Lonchura striata: one gene and its partner. The protein of the gene in region 2 interacts with the protein of the main gene of each other region in a pairwise test. Links are inferred from orthologs where the notes say so. Each region holds a gene or a part of one and is shown on either strand. Other genes may lie near its edges.

What was found.
Region 1: the proteins of ALAS1 (region 2) and CDC73 interact in a two-hybrid assay, tested with the Homo sapiens proteins (3 studies listed by BioGRID and IntAct). The two-hybrid records come from large-scale screens. The link is inferred for Lonchura striata from reciprocal best matches to the Homo sapiens genes ALAS1 and CDC73.

Annotation. Positions count from the first base shown.
Region 1 is NC_134611.1:27,286,062-27,295,649, forward strand, and holds the start of CDC73 (parafibromin), read right to left. Parts: upstream 4,823-9,588; 5' UTR 4,775-4,822; coding exon 4,644-4,774; intron 1-4,643.
Region 2 is NC_134614.1:9,952,063-9,962,605, reverse strand, and holds the start of ALAS1 (5-aminolevulinate synthase, non-specific, mitochondrial), read right to left. Parts: upstream 4,719-10,543; 5' UTR 4,639-4,718; coding exon 4,443-4,638; intron 3,573-4,442; coding exon 3,366-3,572; intron 2,401-3,365; coding exon 2,245-2,400; intron 2,166-2,244; coding exon 1,943-2,165; intron 1,489-1,942; coding exon 1,304-1,488; intron 729-1,303; coding exon 549-728; intron 379-548; coding exon 214-378; intron 1-213.

The DNA of each region.
Region 1 (9,588 bases), on a different chromosome or scaffold from region 2:
CACCCCTTATGATGTTACTACAAGATGTTGTAGGGGAAGCAATGCTTGTTCATGTTTCAAAAAACTCTACTCCCTAAACACTCACACTGCTGTGAGAAACAGCCCTGGCAGTCAGGAAAGCAGCAAGGGCAGCAATTCCACTGCCCACCCCCACTCTGGGATGTGTCAAACCCCAGCTGCAGGCAGGACAGGGCTCCTCCACATTGCCCAGTCCCTGCCCCTGACCAGCTGGCTCACCTTAAAGCCTGAGGAAGAGAAGCCACCACAAAATCAGCCCAAAGCTATAAATTTAAGACTGGTAGAGAACTTTCAACAAACAAGAGGTTTCAGGAAGAAACCCTTTCATTAAAAGAGTTTTCCCTCTAAGTACAGTGGCTTTACTCATGGCTCATCATCAGCACCAAAACACACACGACAGAAGCGCCACTCCCACTGCAAAAAGGGAGCGGAAATAAAAAACACTCAGTCACAACTGTATGGAGCCTGAAAGAGCCACACAAAAATCTACTAAACCAACAGAAGTTTTTAAGTCTGTTTTCTCAGTACTGTGGATTTAATGCCATCTACTGCTTTGCTTGTCATTACTTTTCTGAAATTAGCTAAGATTGCCCAAAAACCTGTTCAGAACTTATTATCAGCAGTAAAGTTCAAAACCTCACCTTCACAATGATGCCTGAGAAAACCAACATAAGAATAGCATGCAGAGAAAAGGGATTCAGCATACCAAAAGTGTAGAATAAAGGGAATAAAGGGTCTCTTACCACTGTCCCTTCCTTCCAAAAACTTAGTCTGCATGAGGTGGAGGGTGCCTGTACTTTTTGTTGCTGCAGAGGAAAGGGAGTTGACACACAGGCTCTTCCTTTCAACTGCTAAGAAGCCAAAACTTCACAACTACAGGCAGCCACCAGAACTGGATTCCTCAGCAAGGAACTGTTTGAACAAGCAGCAAAGCAGTGAGGATCTTTGATAAGGTGGTATCTAAACACACTGGAAGCACTAGCAGAAACAAAAGCTTCCTCCACACAGGCTTGGCTCCGAAGCAAAGCCATCATGTCACGTGATACAGCTGTCACTTCATTTTAAAACAAACACTTTAGATTGTCTTAGTTCAGAATCACTCATTATTTCTTTGAAGTGTGTCATATGCACTGAGCACAATAGAAAAGTCCAGTTGGTCATCTACTCAAACTTTACAATATTTAGCAAGAAATCCAAGATATAAAAACAAACAAATACTGAACCGTTATCTATTAATTGAAACAATACAGTGTTAAAGCCACAGGCATTGCCAAAGCTCAGCAGGGCACAGCTGGTACTTCATCACTTCAACCACACACACAAGAATTCCCCATGCTCATTAAGGCTCTAAGAGGATGTTTTATTAGGAGGACAAGATACTGCACATTAATAGGAAATCATCAGATGGACAAACAGCTGCACACAAGGAGAAAACCTAAGCCTAAACTGACATTTCAACATCAGTGCGTGCTCCTGCTAAATACACAAAGAACTAAAAACAGGCAGATCTGAGGGTAGCTTGCCTCATTCAATTTACAAGCATCTAAAGTAGAAATATAAATGGATTCTGTTATTTCCCATATTCAGCTATAGCATCATTTACTTAAAAAAATTAAATCATAGGAGGCAGAACCTCAACAAACCCAGTGACAATCATTAAAGCAAAAATATAAGGAAGAGTTCCATCTCTTACAAATAAAATCCAGCTTAAAAATTGAGAAAATGTTTATATAATAGGAGACAGCAAGTTTCACCTGCTCATTTTTAACACCAGAAACTTAATTATTTCTCATCCATTCACCTTACACCTATGGGCACCAGGAATTTATTAATTTTTAACAGCTTTATTTCCTCTTTCCTGTTTCAAAGCCTGTAGTTTTACAGAGGTACTAAGGGCCTGTGTCTCATCCACAAATCCAAGCAGAAAACTTTAAATACACAAGACAAAGCATGCTGAGTATCACACAGCTGACAATACCCAGAACCAGCTGCTCACTGTTTGAAAACTCAGCTGCATATCCAAGCCCCTTGACTAGGCAAACTAAGTAATAAATTTCTCTGGTAGATTGATTCCTTCCTTTGGTTTTGAAACAGATTCATTAATTATTCTTTAAGATCCATAGGTCAAAACACACAAACCACTTCATTTCAAACCACCTAGCCTTTTTCATGCGCCAGCAGGAGCATCGCTATAATTACTATCTGGAAACTAAACTGGATTAAAGTTGCTTTTCCCCCACACTTTTCCTTTTTTCCTCCAGGTTGACTTTTACTCAGCTTGATTCCTCAGCCCAATTCCCTGTTTGGGTGACACTTGTGCTAGCAGAGAGAGAAGGCAATGCAGGGCAGCACTGCTGACTTCTGCCAGCTAAGCTGCTCGGGGAGCCACAGCTAAATGTCTCCTGGGACTACTTCTAATTCTAGCAGGGACAAATGCCACTGCTGCTCTTCAGCCTAGCATTACTCTCTGCAGGCTGGAGATGCAATTACAGCAACCGTGCTGGGGACACCTAAAACAGAACTCAAGGTTTGTTCTGTGAAAGATTAAGCCACCAACACCTGCTCAGTGCAAGCATAATTTGGATCCTGTCAAGTGACCTGAATACAAAAGGGTTTGAATCTTGACAGTTTTTGAAAATGTCCCTCCCGAGTGTAGCAATTACCTAAATTAGCAGCTCTTGAAGTGTGGTGTTCAAGCTACTGAGCATGGCTTGCAGAACTGGTCTCATTTTTACAGTGTCTTCAATTTAAAGCTGAGACATGCAAAATGCCACAGTGGTTGACAAGAAATGCTGTGAACTGAGATCAGCCTGATCCTATCAAAAATTCAAAAGCCACTTGTCTAAACCAAGATGAACTAATTCACTTCAAACAACCCAAAGAAAAAAAAACCTCAAACTGCACCACACACGTACCCCAGGAGGTGAGCACTCACAGCTCTGCCAGGAGCTGCAGCTGCTGTGCTCAGAGAATCCTCTGTTCACCCACACATCCTTCTTGACCAGGAAGATGAAGCTGCCTGGCTGTACACAGCAGAGTTTGCTCTCCAGCTACTTTCAGGCTTTTGGTAACAATTTCTGAGTCTAATCCAAGCTCTCCTGAGCAATAGGATAGGGCTGGCATATCAGTTTCTTGTTCCCTGCAGAAGGGCAATGAAACTTGTTTGTCTACTTAACCACTACTTGTTACCACTTGGGAAAAGCAACTTGTAGCAAGGAAACCACCACATCTGTCTACACATTGCCCAGCAAAAATACAGCCAAGACTTCTGCTTGTCCAAATATTTGTCTTCCTCTTCAGTCCACATACCAGTATCCCCCACTCAGACAGGAAGCACAAATAACTCCAAAATTAGTTTCTGAAAGCTTAGAACAGGTAATGAAAAAACAGATTTCTAGTAATATATAAGGTACAAAGTAAAATTCTGTATGAAAAGTCCACCTACAACTGAAGATAAGCAAGTAGGCTTATTTCCTTTCTCTCTCTCAATCTAAGGCTAATAATAGTCATATCATAATAATGTTTAAAAAAAAAATAATAATTCCTGGTCAGACTTAACTACAAGTTCAGGGTTTTGTGAAAAACCTGCAGGTACTTCTGCTTTTCCACAAAGGTTCACAGGATAACATGTCCTCTTTGATCAGTACCTGAGCTTTAAGAAGAAGCATTTTTCCCTCTTAAGTTTGAAAAAGACAAATCGGAACCCTTCTAGTGAGAACACTAAGAAGCAAGCAGCAGCTAAACTCTGAGGAAAGGCTAACAATAAACTCCTTTGCAATATAAGCAATCCATGCTCTACCAGGAAATTCAACAGGTAAACCCCCCTCCCCCATATACTAGAGGCTAAAACCAGGCATGTTATCTACTACAATTATTTAAGCCACATAAACACTCTCTCTACTTGTTTATTACGATAAGACCAAGTAGGAAACAGCCTGCACCAGGTGCTGCCCAGGAGGAGGTCTCGGGTGGGGGCAGAGCAGCTGCACAGCTCATCAGAGGCAGCGTCGGGCCGGGCCTCGCTGGCTTCGCCCTGGCGCACCAAAGCTCCAGGAGACGAGAAGCAGCCCCGACAACGCAAGAGAGCAGAATCACAGACTATGCTGAGTGGGAAGGGATCATCAGGATCACCGATTGCAACTCCTGGCCCCGCGCGAAATACCCCAGGAATCCCACCGTGCGCCTGAGAGCGCTGTCCGAGCAACACAACGCGTCTTTCCCACCGAACACCCGGGAGAACTTGGGAGAAGCTGCCTGCTGCCATCTCATCGCATGAGTCTGCAGGACGCGGCCCCGCGGGCGGCACGGGCAGGAGCGCCGGGAGCCGAGGCACGACCCGGCCGCGGCTCCGCCGGCCGCGGGCTGCACCCGGGAACGTTCCCGAGGGGAGCGGCGGGCGCGCCCTGCCCGGCCGGGCTGCCGGGACGGGGATCGCCCGCGGGACAGCCGGGCAGGGCGCCGGGGCACCGGGGCCCTGCGGGGGGCGGCACCGGCCCGCCCGGCCCCGTCCCGCTCGCCACCCGCGGAGCGCCGGGGCCGCCAAGGACGGCAGCGCTCCCGTCCCCGCCGCAACTTTGGGGCAACTTCTCCCCCCAGCCGCCCCTCGCCCCGGCCGTGTCGCTCACCCCCAGATGACATAGTTGGTCTTGACGTTCTTGGGCCAGGAGAACTCTCCGAAGATCACCTCGTCGCCCTTGACCACGATCTCCTTCTTCTGCGTGTTGTACTGCCGCAGCACGCTCAGCACGTCCGCCATCTTCGCCCGGCCGCCGCCGCTCCGGCCGCCGCCGCCCGCCGCAGGACCCCGCCGGCGCGCCCCGGGCTGCCCGCCGCGAATGCCTGAGCCGGCGCCGCCGCGCCGCCTACTTGAGGCGACGCCGGACTCGTTGCCATGGCAGCGGCGCGGGCCCGCCCCGCAGGGAGGGGCGGGGCCGGATGAGGCCACGCCCCTCTGCCCTCACGGCGGAGGCCACGCCCCCTCACGGCGGAGGCCACGCCCCTCTGCCCTCACGGTGGAGGCCACGCCCCTCTGCCCTCACGGTGGAGGCCACGCCCCCCGCCCTCACGGCGGCCCGGGCGGGGCGGGGCGGGGCGTGTGGGGGCGGCTTTGTCCGTCCTGGGCACACGGGGCTTTCTTGTGTCTTATGTGAAAATAGAGCTTCACACACAGTCACTGCCGAAGTCTATCGGCGCTGCTTCTCTTCTCTGGAGCTTTGGTGCTCCCGGCTGCGCCGCGCTCCCCGGGCGCGCTGGGATGGTTTTGGGCGGGGGTAACGAAGGGTTTTGGTGGTGCTGAAGGGGTTTTAGAGGGTGCTGGAAGGGGGTTGGTGGTGCTAACGGGGTTTTAGGAATGCTGGGAGGGATTCGTGGATGCTAAAGCACAACTAAAAGGAGCTTTGGGGATGTTGAGGTTTGAGGGGCGTTTGGGGATGCTAGGATAGCATGTGGTACACCGGGAGGAGTTTTAGCGGGGCTAAAGAGACTTGAGAGGGTGCTCAAAGGGATTTGAGGTGCTAATGGGGCTTTAGGGTGTGCTGGGAGGGGTCTGAGAGAGATAAAATGAGTTTGGAGGTGCTGAGGAGGTTTGAGGGGTGTTGGGGGAGCTGGGATGAGGTATGGTGTACTTGGAGGGGTTTTAGTGACACTAAAGAGGTTTTAAAGGGCCCTGGGAGGGGTTTGGGGGTGTTAAGGGGGTTTTATGTCATCACTCCCAGCCATGTGCCCAGCAGCCTGTGGTTGGTAAGGGCTGGGACAGCAGGGTCACAGGAATACCCCAAGAAAACAGTGTAAAAGGAGCAGAGGGAACAGCAGGAAGCAGTATCAATGAAGTTTATGCTGGACATCAGGAAAAGGCTCCTCACCCAGATGAGGGATGATGGGTTAGGCTCCCCAGGGCAGGTAATGGTCCCAGGCCTGCCGGAGTTCCAGAAGCTTTTAGGCAATGTTTTTAGACACATGCTGGAATTATTAGAGTGTCCTGTGCAGGGACAGGAGTTCAGCTCAATGATCCTTGTGGGTTCCTTCCAACCCAGGATATTCTGTGGCTGATTCTCTCAGACACTGTGCATGCATCTCGCTCTGCAGGCTGGAGAGAAAATCTCCTGGATATAAAGCTGGGTAAAAAAAAAAAAAAAAAGACTGAGAAGTCTCTGCTTTATCAATCACAAAAAAGTCCTTTAATTCTGATAGATATAAGCCGTCAAAAGGCCATAGCAAACAAAAGGTCATTAGGAAAATGTTGCCTGTAAATGTGAAGGACAAACAGTAATGCCATGGAGCACATCCCACATTACCCTGCAGAATCTGGGATCTCTGTTTGCTCACCTGAGCAACTGCACAGCTGCAGCTGGTATGTGCTCTCTCCATGCTCTCTCCATGTTCCAAGTTAATTTCTTCTGCTCAAACACACAAAAACTGGGAGCATAGCATTCCCAGAAGAACCAAACTGGTACCCCCTAGGGAATACTGATTGCAGGATCTGAGACCCCCAAACAAACTCTCATCATGACTTATTCTAACCTTTGATGCTCAGAATTTTTTTAACACTCTTCAACACTGGCAGAAAGCATGATACCGTCTTAGATTTGCAAAAGGCAGAATTGGTTAATTTTCATTCTTGTAAGTAACATGTGCTGAGACTGAGAAAACAGACCAAAAGCCAACAGCCTATAGAATTCCCTGTTTCAGTACATTAGTGATATCCCCATCTGTGTCAGAACAACAACATGCAGAGCACCACAAGTGTATTTAAAACATTTCAGATGTGGTATTGAAATAGTCTAGCACACAAATATGTACTACAACACCCAGTAACATGGTGAATTATACCAATCACTGCCAATGTTTATTTGTCAATGGGTATAGAGTAGTATTTGTGTGTTTAGAAGACAAAGGCATGATGAATAAACAATATCATTTCCTGAACTGGATTTGGAATTATTACTGGAACTACAGCTCATGAAAATTGGAACAGGGCTTGAAATGCTTCCCGCAGGCCAAGTCCCATTTCCATGCCTCATCCAAAAGGCCCAGTGTGTCCCTTAAACCAGTGCTACCTCCTCAGAAACACATCCTATACATCTGCTGCACTACAAGCAATACTTCTTTTCATGGGTTACAATGACCCAAAAAGCCCCTCATTTCAGTTCTGCCCAATCTGCTGCTCAGGGAGCAGGGAATGGTGCAGTGAACAGTCAGCTGCACACACAGCTACAAAGAGATTTACTTTCAGGTTTCCAGAAAACGTTGTGGTTCTGGTTTCCTTTTTCATTTAAGGCTGCCTTCACTGGGAGAACACTGAAAAAGAAAGCTGAGCAAGAAGGAGTCTGTGTGCTGGCAGTAGCTCAGGAGGGACAAGCTGCCTGCACCCTTAGGAGCAGCATCCCTGCAGGAGCCCGGCGTGCTGCTCTGGGAGCAGGGAACAAAGCAGGGAGCAGCAGGGAGAGAGTTGGTCTCGCCCTGCTGAAATCAATGCAGATAGGAAACAAAGGATGGAGTGGCACAGGGGTGCCGTGGTCATGCTCTGGCAGGAACAATGCAGGTAACAGGAACTAAGCCAAAGGAATGACCCAAGCCGTGCCCCAGCTTTGTGTCAATACCCCCCATATATGCTCATTACTAAAATCAAGCTCCACTTCAATGGCAAATTATGTCAGACATAACTTCACCTTCTCCTGCCACTCACTGAAAACAATATAAATACAGCTTTAGAGGTAAGGGAGGTCGGAGGAGACTCCATCTCTGTATCCTGGCACTGTCAGAGGGCTCTAGCTAGCTCCTCCCCACAGGGACACCTACTGGGTCAGACTCCAGCACTCGGCTATACCAGGTAAGCACCTCGGGAAATTCAGAAAGCCAGCCTGTGCTTGTGATCATACTCTTAGTGCTACACTGGCATCTCCCATCTGACTGTGCTTGTGGCTGGCTGTATGGTTCACATTCGTGGGCTCACACACACCTCTGCACACAGGGGACTCACCACGGGCTGGGCTGGGCTGGGAGGAACTCCAAAGGTCAGCTCTTTCCAGTGCCACACCACCTCTGCATGTCTGCTGCGGAACTGCCCACGGCTCAGAAGCTAAACCCAGCTGTCCCAGTCCCTCTGATATCTGAGGAACAGCTGGGATGCCAGGGGGGTGATTTTCTGCCAAATTTAATGCAAAAATATAGTGGGTTTACTCTTAACATGCCGCTTCAACTGGGAGTGTACAAAATAGTTCCCACAGTTTGCTTTGGGAATCATAGTGACACAATTAACCAGCATTTAAATCATTGAATCAGGATTTGATGTGAAACTATTTTCATGTGGCATTAGATACCTGAGAGTTTATCAGCTTTATCACAGAACATTGGGCTACAAAATCATTATCTGAAATGGGCAAGTAAGTTACCATTTAGAAAAATGAAAGTATATTACATGGATACAATGTTTCACTTGCATTTTCTCACTACTTTAACAGGTTACACTGATGTTTTGTAGGAAAGCAAAATTAAGTTGCAAAATATTAGACAAATTTACATCATAGGTAAGTTCATTTAAGATTAATCAACATCCAGAAAGATACATCATGCATGAGCACACACTCCCTTTTTTACAGACACATATGAGCAAAAACAAATCAGCACATGAGTGCATTTCCTTGCAGCATTTTTTAAAACATAGGGCTGAGCACTGAACTGTTGCTGTTCGCACTGAACAGTGATCCAGAGCACAATTTACTCTCAACACAGAGGGATTAGAAAAGTTTCTCCACTACTGAAATACTTGTACAGACCCCAGAGGGGCTGCTCAGAGGATATTCCACAGGAGTGCTCTGCCAGGGACACGTATTTGACCAGGCTCCACAGCAAGATATGTGGGGGTGAAATAACAGAATATTGTTGAATAGCTTCTACTGAGGAAATAAAAGGAAATAAAATACCCAACGCCTCCACATAAAGTAAGACCTCTCTTTTTTTTTTTTTTTCCATGAGCCACTAAAAACATTCCACACATTACATGATTAGCCAATTCCACTAACAAACTTCCCAGGTACCAAGAGCAGCTCTTCATCCCCCACCCATTATTTACTCCGTCCCCAACTCCTGTTTCACTGGTCAGTTTCTGACCGAGGAACTGCAAGGCAGGAAAGAAACGTGAGGAAGAACAGGCAACAGAAACGGGGACGGAGAAGACTTAAAGTAAGTTTGACACTGGACAAAGCAAAGGCAGCGCTGAAACCCTCACATCAGGAAGCCAGCCGGGCAGGAGGCCAAATCTGCCCAACTTCCCCACACCAGGAGCGGCTCCGCGGCCTCAGGGAAATCCAGCCCCTCTTCATGGCTCTCCCGACCCCATCCTGGGAAAGCCGCCCCATCCCGTGCTGCCCCTGTGCTGGCCCTGTCCCCGTGCTGTCCTTGTCTCCGTAATGTCCCTGTCCCCGTGCTGTCCCTGTCCCTGTGCTGTCCCTGTCCCCGTGCTGTCCCTGTCCCTGTCCCTATCTTCGTCCCTGTCCCTGTCCCCGTGCTGTCCCTGTCCCTGTCCCCGTGCTGTCCCTGTCCCCGTGCTGTCCCTGTCCCCGTGCTGTCCCT
Region 2 (10,543 bases):
CCATACCTATTTCTAAGGCAGTGTAAGTAGCTTAACAGAAGCTTTTCAAACTGTGGGGCACACTTAAATCCCTTGTGCTTTCTGAAAAATCCTAGGCCCCAGCAGCCCTTAACAAGTTCATTTGGCTAGACTGGTTTTGAGCTAACCCACTTAATTTGGCTGCTCAGCAGCTTCGCTGCCTCAGCTCCTGCAGGAGTGCCAGGCTGTGCATACCAAGCGTTCCAGAGATGATGTCCATCTTGTGCATGACCCCATCTCGGTCTCCTATCCCACCTCCTCGGGCTCCGTACAGCCCCACAGCGTGCACTTCATCCACAAAGGTGATGGCCCCATGCTCGTGGGCCACATCACACAGCTCTTCCAGAGGACAAACAGCACCTAGGAACCAAAGCAGTGACTGGCAGTTTAGGATTTTCTGTATGACTGGATAAACCCCAGAGGTACCCCAAGACAACCCCTACAGCACTGTATACTTTGAGACCTAAAACACAGATGATTTGAGGACTAATTGCCCTAGAAGCAGAGAGGAGGCTTTGATGGCAACTTACCATCCATTGAATGAACAGTTTCAAATGCAACAATTTTAGGGGTGGATGGATCAGACTTTTTCAATAGCTCTCGGAGATGGTTGACATCATTATGGCGAAATATATGTTTTGGCACCCTGCTGTTACAGATCCCCTGGATCATGGAGGCATGGTTTCCAGAATCAGAGTAGATCTCACAACCTGAGGAAAATAGGTTACAAGCCCAGTTACATTTTAAGTATGGAACACATTAACTGATTCCTAGCATTGCATTACGTATGGCAAGAGCTCAGGAAACAAGGGTAGTTTGTTCTTGAAAGTAATGCTCTTGATCAAAAGAGCAAGTTACAGATCATGGAAGCAAGAATAATATTTGAGATTTATTTTAGGTATTCAAACTAACATAAATGAGAGCTTGAGAAAATAGTTATCAAACTCTCCTAACTTCTGAAGTGAGAGAGAAGTTCACCCCTTCCAGTGGAAGGACACTAAATTCCTGCTGTCTTATTTTCAGGTAGAGTTTAAACACAAGAACAGAAGACTCAGCTGGTGTAATTCCTCAAGGAGTTCACACCTCATAGATCTCAATCTCAGTAGGTTGATATTGTCATTTGTACTGAATGTAACTTGAATTTGGTATTAAAACCAGGAAACCATACTCTGCCCATGGGTTAGGGCAAATCCTCACTTTGGACAGCCATTTGCAAAACATACTCCCAACAGCTTGAGGCAAGGCTGTGTTTTTGTGGCAACACAGGTACAATTTGAGATCTTACCTGGCAGCATTTTAGCTAGAGTGAAGAGAGTGGAGTCATTGGCTACAAAGCAAGATGAGAACAACAGTGCTGCATCTTTTCCATGAAGATCAGCTAGTTCTTTTTCCAAGTCAACATGAAATTTACTTGTTCCTGATATGTTTCTGGTGCCTCCTGCTCCAGCACCATGTTGTTTCAGTGTTTCCCTAAAGAGGGCCAAAGAGAGGCATTAGCATTGCTGTGGGACACACAGAAGAGTAAAGGGTCACTGCTCAAAACATTCTGGTACATAATCAAGACTGTTCTAAAGAAGAACTGGCAGCAAAAAGCAGCTGTTGAGTCTCAGAGCAACCTGCACACTCAGGAGTCCATTAAGGTCAGATGTCAGTGACCAAGCACAGCTGGTATACCATCCAGTTTATCTGGCAACATCTGGGGCTTTTAAGGAAGATCCAAGGAGCACCATCAGTGACCAATATACACAGTGCAGGCCTGGATCTAAACATTAAGTGACCACCCAATAAACAAGTGTAATCTTAACTGCACAGCAAGAATCGCATCAGAAGCATCTTATGTCCCACAGTATAGAAATCAGCTTTTCAGAAGCCTTCCCACAAGATACAGCTTGAAAACACCTCTTAAGAACACAGCACCACTCACATAACTGCTCCACAGACCCGAGGGTGGCGGCTCATGCCCAGGTAGTCATTGCTGCACCAGACAGACACCTCCTTCTTGGTGATCAGGGAATCAGTGTAGTCGTCTGCCATGGGGAAGATCTGCGCCTTCCTGTTCACAGTCTTGAACACTCGGTAGGTGTGATCCTTCTTCTTCTCATCTATCTTCTTCTCAAAGAACTGATCGTACTGGAAGGTGGATACAGCTGAAAGGAGACAGACTTCAGCACACAGGAAATTATCACAACAGCCCAGGCCTCTGGGGGGTTTGCCAGACATTCTTACATTTTGGCAAATTATCCTGAAGCAGATGAGAGACACTTTCCGGTTTTTGCTTCAGCACAATATCCTTAAACTTCTTGAGCAAGCCACTCTGCTCTGCTCCCTCACTCTCAATCTTTCTCACTGTTGAAGTACTCGGGATTTTGGTAAATTCCGTACCTACAGATATTGGAATAAATTCCAGTGAATTTGTTTGGTTTGAAACAGAGTGAAGTAAGTTGAATTCAGCAAAGCAAACATTTAAAGTAAAACCAACATTTCAATCTTTAGGAAGGACATGTCCAAAATCCCACGTTGATCCTGCTAGGATGAACTATTTTATTTGCTTACAAATTTGCCTTTGACAAGACAGAAGGATTAGCCTTGCTAATCAATCACAATACAACAGGCAAATTCCTTATAAAGTATATGGTTCATCATGACTCAAAGAACCACACTATACAGCTACAGCACTCATCTGAAAGGATTCCATACACACCTAATGGAAGGCAGAGTTCTAGTCAGCCGCTTCCTTTTTGTCTATTAGCACAGATTTTTAAACTATGCCACAAGAGGCAAACAAAAGTAAAACAAGCCTTCTGAGACAGGCAGCAGGGCTTTACTGAAACTGCTGAGAAGTTCCTTCCTTTGAAGGACAGCCCTTCCACACTACCACTGCAAGCCAGCCAACATTCTTTAATTCCATAAGCACCAAAACACCACCCCAAAACCACTTGCCTGCTTTTCAAGCTTGGATTTGTGCTGGTACTTGCCTGGTGTCTCGACACTGTGAACCATCTTTGGATATAAAACCTTTATCTAAACCAGCACTCTGGCAAAGCTCTCTTCAGATCTAAGCATCTGCTTGGGTGCAAGTGTAACAGCTTGACTCACACATCTAGAGCCAGCCAGCACATCAAAATACAGCTCATGGTATTCCCACATCAAAATCACCCAGGGAAGCCCCACACAACGTCACAGGTATGTCATTAACACCTACATTCTCCAGCAGCTCTTCCCTGCCGTCTCCCATAATCCCAGCTGCATCATTTCAGCGGTGCCGGCAGACCTGGCACGCTCCAGATGCAAGTCAGGCACCAGAGGCTCTCGGGAAGAATCACTGCTTCAGTGCACAGAGAACATACCTTTCCTGTCAGCCTGCACTTCCTGCACATCCTCCTGCAGTTCCAGGCTGGCTTTGCAGAAAACGTTGCTCTTCTTGTGATTCATCTGAGCTGCCAGGAACGGGCACTTGGTAGCCGTACTCTGGCTAGCACTGGCAGGTGGGTGGCCAGCAGGAAGCTGGGTTCCATCTGCATTCTGCTGGGCCACTTCTTTGACATTTTTGGCCTCTGAGATGGGGGCAGAGAAGGTAAAACAATTCAGCTTCATCATTTTAATACCCTGACTTTAGTTTTTTGATCCATTACTTTTGCAATTAATTTGCCAGGACCTATTCAGAACTATTTAACTGAGCAGTCGTATTTTATTTACACAAGTGCAAAATCCCAGTTAACACCCAAGGGACATCTGATTTAAGATGCTAGATCTAGCACTGTACTCTTTGAGGGGCAGAAATACCTCACTCCCAATGGGAATATTTAAGGAAAGACTGGATATGGCAGTAAGTGCTATGTTTAGTTGACATAGTAGTGTTCAGTCATAGGCTGGACTAGACCTCAGAGGTCTTTTCTAACCTAACTGTGATTCTGTGACCTTCTTTCAGGCACTTCAGAGATTTTTCAGCCATGCAGCTTCTGCTCTGAGCCTCAAATCCTTCCTCTGAGTGCCCGGGGAAGAATTCCCCAAGGAATGTTCCCGGGTGGCGAGAAGGGCCAGTGTACCGTGAGAAACACCGCTCGGAGACCCAGGATCCCGGATCCCCACCCGGGGCTCGCCTCGGGACGCCCCTCGGGATCAGGCGGTCCCTGACTCGTGCCACGGCCACACATTTCCTTTACCGCGGACATTTCAAGGATTAAGCAACCCCTCAGCCTCAGCGCTGCCTATTCCAGAAGCTTCCCCCCGAGACATGCAATGTCTGTGTCATTTTTCCCCCCCCGAGACATGCAATGTCTGTGTTATTTTTCCCCCCCGAGACATGCAATGTCTGTGTTATTTTTCCCCCCCGAGACATGCAATGTCTGTGTCATTTTTCCCCCCCGAGACATGCAATGTCTGTGTCATTTTCCCCCCTCGGCTCGCTCCCCGGCCGTACTCACCGCGGCCCGCGGGGCTCTCCTCCTCCGCCTGCTGCCCGCGGGCGGCGGACGTGGCGAGGGCGCGGGCGGCCGGCGGGGCCGCCTCCATCATGCGCGGGCAGTGCTGGGCGTACAGCAGCAGCGACGGCCCAGCCTTCTGCAGGAACGCCTGGGACACACGGGCCAGGAACGGGCAGCGCCGCACCACCGCCTCCATCCTCGCAGTCGGACGGGACACCGGAGGTGACGGCAGAGCAGCACCGGCGACGGGAGGCGGCACCGCGCGGCGCTCCCGCACCGCCGCCTTTATAGAGCCGGGGGCGCGGCGCAGGCGCGGGGAGGAGCGGGGCGGCGCCCGGCGGCTCTGGGGCGGTGTGAGGGACCTCGCCGGGTCGTGGGACGGCGGGAGCGGCCCGAGGACAGGGAGAGACCGCGGGGGCGTGAGGGGCTGGAGGCATCGCGGCCCCTGGCGCCCGTGAGGGCTGGGGCGGTGTGGAGCCGTGGGGGAGCTGGGGCGCTGTGAGGTGTGCGGGACGCTGAGCGCTGCCGCGGTGAGGGCACGGCGGCGCTTGGGTCCTGCCGGGGGCTGTGAGGGGAGGGGGCAGCCCGCCCTGCCGGGGGCCGTGAGGGGATGGGGCAGCCGGTCCTGCCGGGGGCTGTGAGGGGAGGGGGCAGCCGGCCCTGCCGGGGGCCGTGAGGGGATGGGGCAGCCCGCCCTGCCGGGGGCCGTGAGGGGATGGGGCAGCCCGCCCTGCCGGGGGCCGTGAGGGGAGGGGGCAGCCCGCCCTGCCGGGGGCCGTGAGGGGATGGGGCAGCCCGCCCTGCCGGGGGCCGTGAGGGGAGGGGGCAGCCGGCCCTGCCTGGGGCCGTGAGGGGAGGGGGCAGCCCGCCCTGCCGGGGGCTGTGAGGGGAGGGGGCAGCCCGCCCTGCCGGGGGCTGTGGGCATGGGCCGCTGCTCGGGGTGCCCCGCAGCCCCGGGCTCTGCCGTGCTTGTCTCCCGGGAGGTTTGGGCTCCCTTGCCCGCAGGACAGGAGACTCGGGGTCAGCCCAGCGCGCCGGGGAAAGGCGAGCTCTGAGTCAGCTGGGGGAAATCCAGTGTTGCTCGGTGTTTTATTCCTAAATGCGCTCCTGACTGCCTGCAGAGCCCCTGCCCTGGGGCTCAGGTGGTGGTGGTGGGATCCTGAGCTCCTCTCACTTTTCCTACAGCTGGTACTAATCTTCAGCTCCTCTGTAGATGATGCTCAGACTTTCACCATTGCATTTTTGCCGGGTTTTAAAAGAAAGAACAACAGCAACAAATAAAATAGAAGCCTTCGTTCTCTGGTTTGCAATGGACATTAAAGCTTGTTTGCTTACAAGAGTATTTGGTGGGAAGCTTAATGCTAAGGGGAGTTCTCATGCGTATGGCCATTCAAACCACGGCAGTGCTACTTCCTGTAAGCACTGACTGCTCAAGTGTGGAAAGAATGGAGAAGGAAAAACGACAACGCATTTTTTCCCTCATCTTGTGAAACAATTTCACGGAAGACAGGATTTGGGTAGAGAGCCAAGAGCTGTCTTGGGCACTTTGGGGCAGGAGTGGGTTTTGTAACAGGTGTGGAGTTGGGAGGAGAACTTTCTTAAAGGTCACTCTTGGCTCTTGCCCTGCATGAAGTCACATTGTGTAGTTACTAGAAGGTGCTCATGTAGCATGACTAGAGCAATAAAAGCCTGTGTAGGACTGTGGCTGCTGAACACAAATTTGGCTATAAGAAAACACTGCTAAAAGTGTTGGTTAGCATTTAGGTATTGCAGATTAATCTTTAATCTGGGAGACAACCAGCAAGGTATTTGCCTGACCCTCTTTTATTCTCCACTGACTCACTTTGAGGATGCCGCATGCAGTTTGTAAACTTTGGGATCTGAGTAAATTGGTCAGGAGGGAAACCTCATAGTCAAATGTCAGATTTTATGTCAGCTCTACTGTGTTACTAAGCTCTGAGGCAGGAAATGGGACAGAATTCTGCCCTTCATGTACTACTTACAAAGCCCTGAAAAAGTTAGCTGGAGTTCTACAAGGTAGGGTGTGAGATTTGGGTTTTAGTGGGGCTTTAGTAGGTGTGTTTTAAGCAGAATTTGCTTCTTGCTTATTAGAAATTTAAGACAATGTTACAGGAGAAGCCTCAATGCTCAGATCTTAACTCAGTATTTGCCAGTGTGATGCATAATTGGCATCATTAAACCAGATATGTGCTAGTTTTAATTTGTTCTGTAGATAAATTATTAAAGCAGGGCAGTGGTATTTGACCTCAGCCTCTGTAGAAGTTATGGTAGCAGGAGTCCTGATCATTTGGTAGTTCCAGGGTAGTGTTTTGAATTATTATTTCAGTTGCGTATTAATAATTTATTTTTGGGTTTTTTCCCTCCCACCACCGTGTTTTGGCTAGTGTTACATACCTCAAGCATCTAGCAAAATAGTAAGTTTAAAGACACCTGATCTTTGTTTCAGATTACTGCTGTCCTCTTTTCCTGGAACAGCAGCATTTGACTCTCTACCCTGAAGTTTTGTATCACATCAGTTATTCTAAAGATTGAGGGGACATCATGGCATTCTAACTTGTGGATACCTGACAAGTGTCCTTAGAGCACAGTTAATGTGTCTGGGCCTAAGGGATCACTCCTGTGCCCCTGGGGTTAATTGCAGTTTTAGCAACAGAAATCAAGTCCTATAAGCTTGATTTATAGTATATTGAGAGCATTTTTCTTTCTCCTCCTATTTTTCCCTTAATAATCATCCATCATACTTAGCTCTGAGGGAATGTGTGTTTTGTTGTAAGAGGCACCAGAGAAAGGTGTTGTGCAAATGAGCACAAATCTGCTGCAAGAGGCTGCAGAGCTTGTCTGCCTGGACACCTGCCACAGCAGGTTAGATCCCTCAGAAATCTGATAATCCTCCTTTATCCTGGTAATCTGAACAGCAGCATCTTGCCACGTTGTAGGGCTGGGGGATGAAGTGTGTTAGTCTGCTTGGTTGCTGGAATTCAGAGACTGGTGGGTTTGTATTCAGCAGTGCATGTGAAGCCTGAAGAGCATCTGCTTTTTACACAAGCGTCATTCAAGGCTGGCAGCTGAGACACGGTGACCTTGGCTACGATCTGGAGATCTCCAAATGGAGCAGAACTCTCAGCTTTCCTGTCAGACTCCCCTCCAATCTGTGCTGTTCATCAAACACTGCAACAACACTTCTTTTAAACTTGGTTTTGGTGAATGTATTTAACCTTGTACTTGACAGGAATTGCGCAGAGCAGCGGAACGATGTTAACTTGACCCTCATCTTGGAGGGTGCTGTCCTTGTCAGTGCACGAAGTTGGCTGGAGCTCTGGGAGCAGCAGAGCAGGGAAAAGTCAGAAAAAGGGTGTCTTGTCAACTGCTCTGCCAGTGCCCTTCCTCCCTTTGGAAATACTGTCAGAGCTTACATGTTGAAGGTGAGGTAAATACTAATAAAGCCACGGTTAATTAAAATTTCTTAGGGCTTCAGTGGATTAATTAAACGGTGTTTAAGGATGTGAATTGTGGCAGTGTATTACTGCCATCCTAGAACGCTGTTTGCCGTGCTGCAGGAGGAGCACAGTGTGCAGCAGGGCCAGTGGCAGCCCAGAAGAGAACAGGGAGCCCATCCTGAGAGAGAAGAAGCAGGCTTAGATTGGAGAGAGGCAGCAGGTCCAGCAGGCAGGGGAGAAGGAATGGCTGCTTGGTACTACAGAAAGGGCAGAGTAACGTAATAAAGGAGGAAAAGCGTTTAAGCAGAGGGGGTAGCACTGATGTGAGAACAGATTTGTTCAGCTGGCCCTGACAAAATGTAGGGCAGAAGGTGAGTAGTTCCTTGCTGTGTTTTGGAGCAGCTTTTAGAGCTGGTCCCTGAGACCAGATGGATTGAGTTGAGGAAGCTCAATCTGCCTGAAAGGCCCATGTGTTGCAGTGGCAGAGGAAGAGAAGGGAAGACTCAGCTATCCTGAGAGCCTCTGCTGCTTTTAGTTTCCTAAAGCCCATTCTGTTCTGATGATTTGTTATTTTCTTAGCTAAATAAAAGTTAAGGGAAAACAAGGTTAAATTCCAGCAGTTTGGTGGATGAGAAGCCACAGAAAGTGCTTCCCACAGAGAAATTGAAATGGGGAAAATTCCCTTTAATGTCTGCAGATGTCTATGAAGTGTTGCTGATGAACATGGTCTCTTTCCATGTTGCTGGTTTACCATGTATGGTCATCTGTAAATTACCTTGAATACTTCCCTCCCATCCCTCTTCTCTCAAGCATGTTTTCCCCAGTATTCCTGGAAGCAGAACTTGGTTCACAGGTTTGTAGCATCCATCTGCCCTTGCATTTGTCTGCAGGTAGCTCCTTTCAAAGCATTTTCATTAATTTTATGCTTTGAAGAGAGCATTTAGATATTTAGCAGAAAAGCGAAGGTCAGAGCCCTTCTGCATTCAGCCTGTTCAAATGAAAGGCTATAACTGCACCATAATTAGCAACATTTAATCCCTTTTGCCCACTTCTGAAGTCAGGGCTGTGCATATTCCTAATTTTTTCCCATCCTGTCAGTGTCAGAGAGGGCAAGCCAGAAAAACAATTCCCCCTCCCCATGCACAAACCCTACCCTTGTCTATATTGAGATCTGAATTTTCTGAGGGAGTGGGTGTGATCCTGACATCTGGATTTAATCCAGACTCAGATTCCAGGCTTCATTTGAGAACTTCCACCTCCGGTCCTGAGACCAGCAGTTCTTACAGAGGATTTACTTTATTTACCTTTTAAGGCAAAATTGGAGGCTTGTCATAGCAGCTGCATAGTGACAGTTCTGATGGTGAATTTCTTTAACACGTTTCCTGATTTGGAGCCAGTGTCTTCACAGGACAGAACAGGAAATCACATTCCTTTCTAGGACCCTCTAAACAGCAGAGACTTTGAGCAAGCTGGAGGAGCTGCTGGATGCTGACGCTCGTGTTGCAGAGTGGCTGAGCAGCACCCCTGAATCACTGACACAGGCCAGGCAAGATCCATACCCCTCTTATACAAAAGAAAATGAGTTGTTTTGTTCCCTACTGTAGTGGATCTCCTAAAATTCATGGACTGCTGGTGGGCCCTCACAAGGCTGTTGGGTCAGGGCACTTTTCTTGTCTGCCAGGCCCCAGGAGCTGCCCATTGCTGCAGAGGAGTTTGGTTTCCTGGCCAAGTCCCATCCCAGCAGCGTGAGTCAGGCTCAGTCTGGGCAGTGGAAGCTGTTGCCACCCTAATACAAGGTACCTCACTGTCCCACTGAAGGGCACCACCCCACACTGCTGCTGCAGTCCACAGCCCAGCTGATTAACACATCCAGCAGTGGCTTATCCTAAGTCCAGAATATCTCCCTGACATCTCTCATGTTGCTTCAGATGTGGACAATCACATAATAATATTTTTTTTTATCTTGCACTGTTGAGTTTATCTTGCTTTGTGCAGCACATAGCAGGAAATGATGCACTAATCCTTCCAGCTACTGTGCTTTGCTGCACTTGCCATGACTTGCCTCCACACCCTCATTTCCTCCTCTCACACAGTTTTCCTCCTTTTACAAAGAACTAGTAGACCTCAACCAATATAATTTTAGTTATGGTTATTGAAGTTATTCAGCCTGTCACTTTTCTTGCATATCTCGGCTCTCCCTGTTCCTCGTTAGGTACTCAGTCAGAAAGAGCACCTTCTACATCCAGTTTAGGAGCTTGAAGTCTACTCAACAGAGTAGAAAATGTGAATTCAAGTACTTCCTATATTGAAGGTGTGAGAGAGTGGGGAAAGGACTTTGATCTTTAGTCAGAGCTCTCTATAGAAATCTGGAACTGGGGTTTCCAGAAAGTATTTAGACAGATCGTCTGCTGCACGCTATATAGGAAGGACAGCTGTCAGAGGACAGAATTGAGTGAATTTAAATGCTTTAGGCCCAGAAAGACACTCAAGTCATGCTTATGTAGTAAAACACCTTTGCTATACCAGGCATCTCTAGTGAGAGTCCCTTATGTTGCTTATACCTATGCTGTTGTGGGCTTTGGCAGGCAGGTTGAAGTCAAAGCAGAAAGGGGATTGTCCAAGTCCTCGAAAACAAGAAATCAA